Caenorhabditis elegans: one gene and its partner. The protein of the gene in region 1 interacts with the protein of each later gene in a pairwise test. Each region holds a gene or a part of one and is shown on either strand. Other genes may lie near its edges.

Region 1 (4,591 bases):
TCTCTGTTTCACTGACCAATTTATCATCAGACCTCTTGTATTGTCAACACAAAACAATGTTTCTCTAATTTCTCTATATGTCTGCCTGTCTGTCTGTATATCTGCGTGCCGTTTCTCTCTATGTCTATCTTTAGTTGATTGTGATACTTTAGGCGAAAACAGTGAGGTGGCAGTCGAGCGGATACTTTGTCCTTTCTCTCCCATCGATTATTGACACGCTGCGTCCCACATTAATTTTTTTTTGCATTATTGGAACACGATTCGATGTGGCAAGTGAGTTTAGGCATAATTTATTCTCATAAACGGAGAAGCACGTATGAGCTTCCAGATATGAAACTGCTGCACACCTTCTTCAAACACTTTTTAAAAAGTTTTTAAAGCTTAAATTTCAGATGTAAAACTTCAAAACCATCATGTCATCCACTACATCTTCTAATCTGTCATGTCCGGCTTGCACTCAGAAAAAAGTGAAAAGCCGTTTCAGTTGGCGAGCAATTTTATACGCAATTTTTTGCTTTCCGTGTGGAATCTACTGCTGCATGAAACGGAAAACATACTATTGCACACAATGTCAATGTGATGTGAGTTTTTTCTTTCAAAATAAAATTAGAAGGCTTAGTTCTTATGAAAATGAGAGCTTTAGTTATAATTTCTAAAGAAATGTATTGGTGTTCTGCAATAGCTAATGTCTTATCTCGTTTTTAATAAATCAAATGTTGCAGGTGGTTAAACGTACTGAAACCCGTGCTATTTTACCAAGAACTCCCGGATTGGGCTACAACTTCCGTTTGTACGAATCTACAAAAACGGCTCTTCCAGCTAGTTTTGCTGCATATCGTAATCCGGCAATGACAGCATCATCCACAGATTCTACAGTTTCCACCACACTATCAACTGCACCAATTGTGGATTAATTTTTTGAATTTTTGATTTCGCCAGGGTTTCAAAAGGGGTTTGTTACGTTTAAGTAATTTTCATAAGTAAATATTTCCGATTATTCTGATACTTGATCAGAAGTTTTAAATGATACTTATCCCATTTTTCTTTACAAAAAAGTCTCCTATCGTCTCACCATTTGATTTCTTGTCACTTTGCTCTTTTTCGCGTTCCAAAGCCAATAGTTTCGTCTCGAAAGCTTTTGATTTTATCAGTGCTCGATGATCGACCTGTAAATTATTTGAAATATTTTTCAGTTTCTTTTTCTGTTTGATTTTGGTCAATTAAACTACGGGTTTCAGTGTGATTAATTACATAACTTTGAAACGTATATTTCCAGAATTTTTCCGTTAATAAATATAATACTTTTTCTTTTTTATAGATATTTCAATTGACTTTTCTCTAGACTAGAAATTTCGAGATGTTAAAGATTTTCTTATGGAAAAAATGAGCTTCAACAGGAAATAAAAATCTTACCTGTGAAGCACCCAAATTCTCTCTCAAAAGTCCAATATGTTGCTCATAGATGACAATATCAGCTTCAAGAACTTCAATAAATCTATCCTGTGCTTGAATGGCATCCTTCAATCGGTCAATGTCCTCAAAAATAGCTTTTTTCTGACATTGATTGTAGTTGATAGCGGATTCAGCTTGAAGGAGATCTTCAACCATCAATTCCATCAGCTTTTTAGATTCGTCAACTTCTGAGCTCAAGGATCGTTTGGCTACTTCACTAGCATCTAACTCTGTTGTCAACTTGTGAACTTTTTCTTTCAAATGAGCAACTTGATCACGAAGAAGAGCATTTTGTTCTATTTCCCAATTTCGAGAAGATCGGAGAGTGTCAACTTCTTCTTGAAGACGATCCCTCTGAAAATTGGAAACGTTTCTATACAAAATGATATATTCATCTATTTCACTTACCTCATCTTCATATTTTCCATTGATATCTTCAAGTGTAGTTTCCAACTCCTTGATTCTTGCAGTCGCCGCAACCTTTGCCTTGAGTCCAGCAGTTTTTGCCTCTTTTGTGTATTTGAGAATTTCAGATTCATAGTCTGCTTTCATTTTTTCAACAGATGAGTTTAGTTCGATAACTTGCTGACGGAGTAAAGCATTTTCAGATGAAGCTTCTGTTAAAGCAGACTCGAGAGCGTCTGAAGTTGAAGAAGACATTGAAATGGTGGGATAGCGGGAAACAGATGTAGATGGAAAATTGGAAGATGTTGATGTTCCAATTGAAGAACCATTTGGATTTAAATCAAAAGTTACACGTTTTCTTTGATGTTTCCTATGGATTCCGTCAATATCTGGAAGAGCGCTCAGTTTGCTAGATGGATCAAATGGAGGATCCAATGGTGGAGGAGAGAAGGTTCCCGATGAACTTGAGACCATCGTTTCTGAAAAATAGATCAATTCAATTCCGTTAAACTTTAAAAAAAAGTTTTATATCGTCACAATTTTCAATTTCTAGCCGTGTGCTCAATTTTCGAGCTTATTTTCAAGAAAAAGAGGAGCATACAAATTACTTGGGCAAGCTACCTTTAGATTACTGTAGGTTACAGTTGTCCTAACACGTCTAAGATCAGCAATTTTCCTGTTTGGGAATAATAAAAAAATTCTAAAAATAAAACTGAACGTCATATATATTCAGAAATGGTGCATGACAACTTCATTTTTTTTTAACCAAAAAACTTTACTCACTTCTCTGTGCAATGACATGACCTGGAGATGAACTTCTTGCTCTCCGTTCACTCTTTGAATTTGATAATGGTACTGAGGAATGAGCCATCAAAGAAGGCTCAGTTTCTGTCGACATATCCTTCTTGTCTCTATTCATTTCTTCAAATTTTTGTTGAACAATTCTCATTGCTTGATTTTTGACTGAAGCAACTTCATTGTGCTCACGAACTCTTTCCTAAATACAACTCCAATATGAAACCACAGAAACAGAATAATTCTCACCTGTAAGTCCAAAATTTGCCTTTCTTTATCCAATATCACATTATTTAAATCTATAATTCGGTTATCCTTATACACCAGTTGTTGATGAACCCGTTCATCGATCCGTTTGTCGGCCGATTTTTCTTTTTCTTTGGAGGTTTTGTCCTCCATTTCTGAAAAGTATTATATTTGTATTTAACGTATTTAAAAAGTGACAGTATACTTCAAGGACGTGAAGAAACAATGAGAAGAAAAGAAATTTGAAAATTATAGTTTAAAAAAAGGGATGACGTAAAATTATTCAAAAACTTTTTAAATAATTTGTAAATCCAGAATAAATTTTCTGCGAGAGATTGGAGAGAGAAACAGAGAAACCCCGTTCCACGTAACGGAGAGGCGCTGAACCCACGTGGAAAGCTCACATTTTAATCTCACGCAATAATATGCGTCTCACGTTTTTTTTTCAAAAAGTTTTCCGAACACATCCTTTTTTTTCTAAAATTTTTTAATCTTCCGACACTACTTGAGAAGTCTTATAATGGATGAAAAATCGTTTTTTAAAGTTAATAAACTGATTAGGTATAAGGAGCATGCCAAAAATATATTCACTTTCAGTTTTTTGATAATGTTGCAAATTATTCAAAAGTATAACTCGTAACCTAGTTATCAGAAGTATAACTAACAAAATATTTATTTTTGTATTTAAAGGTTGCTGAAGTAAAATAATTTTCATTTACTGTTTCATTTTTTAACTATAATAATAATATACTCTAGAAATTCCGCTTTTTTTGGTACTAGTGAATATAATTAACTTATTTGAACAAGTATACAAAAGTAAAAATAATTTGCTTCTGAATTAGCTTCTGAATTAGTTTCGGAAATAGTTTCGGAATTCATTTTAATCATTCTCAACAATATCAAAAACCAAAAAAGGTTGCTTCTTTGGCTAGCACTGTGAATTAATACAGCAATTTAAATATAGGTTATATAACTAAATTTGAAACATAAGGAAGAATATATGAAACGACTTAAAACAGTTACAAATCTACGTGCAATTTAATTCCTGAAGAATCAAAAATGAAGTTTTAACACGAAATTCTACAAAAAACTGGTTCGAATTAGTTCCTTTCGAGAGACACGTCGACCAACACGGCACCCGCGTTATTGATTTTCTGCTGACGCACATTCGTTTGCGGTGGCGCATTTCACTTTCGCGGTGACCATTGACATAGTGTATGGGCCAAATAATGGGAGAGCTCGGTGAAATATTAGTGACATTAAATACGGATATTAATTACAAAAAAGAAATCGATGGTAAAAATAACCAAATGACTATTTTGGCATGAAAAAACATGACTTTTCAATTTTTATTTTCTGTTTTGGAACTCTTCATGTAGGCCATTTTAAATCATTAGTTTTCTGTGCGGTGTGTATTCAGAAAAGTTAAAGTAAGCATTGAAAACTGTGAACAAAACGTTATAAGAACACGTCTCATTGTCTGTCAGTACATGAGAGCACGATGTAAAAAAGCAAAGCACACAACTGATATTTTTGTTAAAATAATTTCTGTCTTACTAAAGTTTTTGGGTCAAGATAGATCAAACAGCATCGAGAAGAAAATTTACTAAGTTTGGTAACCCATGAAACACAGTTCTCTTTCTATTTTCAAAAGGCATTTGTGTCTATTAAGCTCATCAGTTCTTCTGAAAAA
Region 2 (3,190 bases), on another chromosome or scaffold:
ACAACAAGGAAAACTGTTCTCTACTGAACTTCTAGAAAAGTTCCGTGCCCCCCAAGTTCAGGGGATTGATGAAGTTGTCATGACTCCTCTACCAAAAGGACATGGTTTCCTATACGAGAGACATCCAATGGGAGGGGTGAGCATCGTTTTAATAAATATAATAATAAATCAATTATTTTTTCAGAAAAAGTGGCTTGTTGGACATCCTGGTTACGGTGGCAGCACAGTAATGATGGATTTGGAAGATGGGATCACGATTGCCTACGTCTCGAATGGATTGAAAACTGGAATGGGAGAGCTTACGAGAACATACAGACATCTTCGAGATTCTGTATTTGAGTGCTTGGAGAAACAGAAGACTGGTCAAAGTGTGATGATCGAGGAAGCAGTTCAAGCAGTTGCCGCATAACTTAAAAAATTGTTGTTATCCTTGTTTGTACATAGCGCCATAATTTGGGACGGGTCTACTGCCCCCAGCGAATTGTGCATAAACATGTTTCTGGTTTGTCTGAATTTGTATTGAGAAAAATGGGTAATACCGGGAAACCGAAAAATAATGAACAGAAAAAGTTAAAAAAAAACATCCGGGTGCAAAAAGTTCTTCTTGAAGTCGGTGAGTCGGTTTGAAGTACAATAAAATGACTCGCCGAGCGCAAGAAGTTTACCAGGGCAGAAAGAAGAGAGCTGATAATAAATTAAAAATGTGAATAAATACACGAGAATGATTCAATCGTCCATGTCGTCCTCGTCAAGCTTGGCAATAGCCCATTCCTCGGCAGCAGTGACAACCTCGCTTGGAACTTCTTCGTACTTTCCGTTCGTCTGCTCACCGACCCATCCCATTTCGATTTGAACGTTTTTATCCTTGTTCTCGTCACGCACCACCATAATGATTCGAGCAGCTTCCTTCACGAGTTGATTCACATCCAGCTCCTCGATCTTCAGCTTCTCAATCTCAGCTTTTGCGGCTTGGCGATGTTTTCCGACAGCCCATGCCTTGTATTCATAGTTTAGACCTGATGGCTCCACAAGGAAAAGACGTCCTCCAGTTTGTTTGTTCCATGACATGAAGAAGGCTCCTGCTCCAAACGGACGACTAATGCCGAGAGTGTGAATGTGAATGTACTCAGCAACTGAGTTAGCAATATTCTGAATCGGCATTGGCTCACGGTAGTCTTTGAGCCACTTCATTGCTTCTCCGTAAGCATAGTTCTTCAGAGCGAAACCATCTGGATAGTTTCCAGCAACTGCGACACCAACATTGTCGTTCACGTTAAACATTCTTGGATTAGCGTTCTGAAAATTATAGATAAAATCTTGAAAATCTCTTAAATTACTCACATCAGTGTAAAGTTTGGAAGAGATCAGCTTGTCAGCAACGACCACAACTCCGTTCTTGCCACGAATTGCAATCATTGTTCCTGCATTGTCGACAGCCTTTTGAGCGTACTCGACTGAAAACGAGATTATGAGTATTTTGAACAAAGCAAAATCGAAACAAACCTTGGAAAATTCTGCCATCAGGAGAAAAAGTAGAGGCGGCGAGATCGTAGCCGGTACCGATTGAACTCATTCTGCAAAATAAAAACTATGTTAACACATATATGATTGCAACTGGTACGTGTTTTATTTCTGCGGAAATCAGAAGAACCGTTAAAATTTAATATTTAATAATTCGTTTATTTGAATGCGTTAAAAATAGTAGAATTATTGCGAAAATAAAAGCTGATAATCTGAAAATGGCAGCTAAATGGAAATAAAATTTCAAATGATGATTTTCCAATGTCGATTTACGGGAGAGACGAACATTGCGGCAGGTCTCGCAACGACGAAGAAGAGAGTGTGTAAATTGAGAGACGTCAGAAGACAACATGCGCCTTTAACATTTTCTTTTCATTTTTCTTTACTTTTTCGTAACTTTTTGTTACTATTTTGAAGCTGTGCAATTTGTTTCCAAAGTAAAAATCGCTTAAACCTCACATAAAATTGTCTTGTGTTTATTACTCCTTTTAATATGCGTGTCTTTCAGAGAAATCTCGCGGGTAAAAATGGTGAAACTCGACGACAAAAATAAAAAATTCAAAGGGAAGAAGAAGGTTAAAAATGTGTTGGAGAAAAAGGCAAAAGGATTAAAACTCAACAAAGTAGACAGAAAGCGAATTGTTAAGGTTTGTTAAATTACTTCATTTTGTAAATAATTTTTTGTGAAATATTTCAGATTGAAGAAAAAGCAGCGTTAAAAAGCAAAGTAGACAAAGCTGTGAAGGACGAGTTGGAAAGGTTGAAAAAGTCATCTTCAACATCAGTTTTTGATAATGATGGGACTCGTGACTCTTTGTGCTCGGAGTCTTCGTTCGGAAGCCAGCCAGCACCGAAAAAGAAATCGAAAAAAGTGCTTTTCTCAGGAGAACTTGAACATGTTAAGGTTTTCGATAAGCGAGTTCAGGATCTTCAAATCAAACCATCAGAGGCATCTCCAGGAAGAGGAATTCTCAGATCCCCTCTTGATAAGAAGGTTAAGGTTTGTTAATTCAATATATCGTCTTTTACACAATTGTTTTTTTTCAGAAACTTGCCAAAGTGAAGACTGTCAAAGTTGCTCAGGAAGAAGAAGAAGAGCATTCCGCTCCCCCAAAGAAAAAAGTGAAGGTTAATGCAGAGAAAGCCGTTGCTTCTGAGCCAGCAGACGATGAAAATTTGGAATCTGTCGACGAACAAGCAGGTGGAGATGAATCTCATATTGACATTCCAACTCTAAAGAGAAAGAGAGTAGCTATTCAAGTCACAAAGTCTGTTAAAGAACAATTGCTGAATATGCCGAGAAAAGAAAGAAAAGCATTTTTGAAGGAGTTGAAATTGAAGAGAAAACCTGAAGGAGCTCGTGCTCAAAAATGCAAGGAACTTTGGGAAAAGATCAGAATGGGAAAGACGCCAAAAGCTGAAAAGGATACTGCGGTTCACGAGTTGTATGGTCTTGTAAAAGGACACGCTGCCAAGCTGATCTATGCTCACGACACCAGCAGAGTTATCGAATGTCTTGTTGCCACTGAAAGAGAAGGAATCATTAACAACTGTAAGTTTTTTGAAGGTTCCCATGAATAATTACGAGAACATAATTATTGCAGTGTTCAACGAATTAACCCCAGAAATAGTGAGGATGTCAAAGAACGTCTATTCCAAATTTTTCGTC

What was found.
Region 2: the proteins of T28C6.7 (region 1) and pas-7 interact in a two-hybrid assay, tested with the Caenorhabditis elegans proteins (2 studies listed by BioGRID).

What each region holds. Positions count from the first base shown.
Region 1 is NC_003282.8:8,826,264-8,830,854, reverse strand, and holds the start of T28C6.7 (Kinesin motor domain-containing protein), read right to left. Parts: upstream 3,052-4,591; coding exon 2,902-3,051; intron 2,855-2,901; coding exon 2,641-2,854; intron 2,337-2,640; coding exon 1,861-2,336; intron 1,807-1,860; coding exon 1,414-1,806; intron 1,307-1,413; exon of another isoform or gene 1,167-1,306; coding exon 1,073-1,166; exon of another isoform or gene 915-1,072; coding exon of another isoform or gene 723-914; intron 582-722; coding exon of another isoform or gene 414-581; exon of another isoform or gene 393-413; intron 274-392; exon of another isoform or gene 128-273; intron 1-127. Other genes in the region: T28C6.8 (Membrane protein BRI3), read left to right, coding at 414-581, 723-914.
Region 2 is NC_003280.10:10,098,281-10,101,470, forward strand, and holds pas-7 (Proteasome subunit alpha type-3), read right to left. Parts: upstream 1,575-3,190; 5' UTR 1,574-1,574; coding exon 1,504-1,573; intron 1,455-1,503; coding exon 1,342-1,454; intron 1,297-1,341; coding exon 727-1,296; 3' UTR 502-726; downstream 1-501. Other genes in the region: lact-2 (Beta-lactamase domain-containing protein 2), read left to right, coding at 1-136, 185-409; puf-12 (Pumilio domain-containing protein 12), read left to right, coding at 2,049-2,168, 2,219-2,521, 2,569-3,073, 3,126-3,190.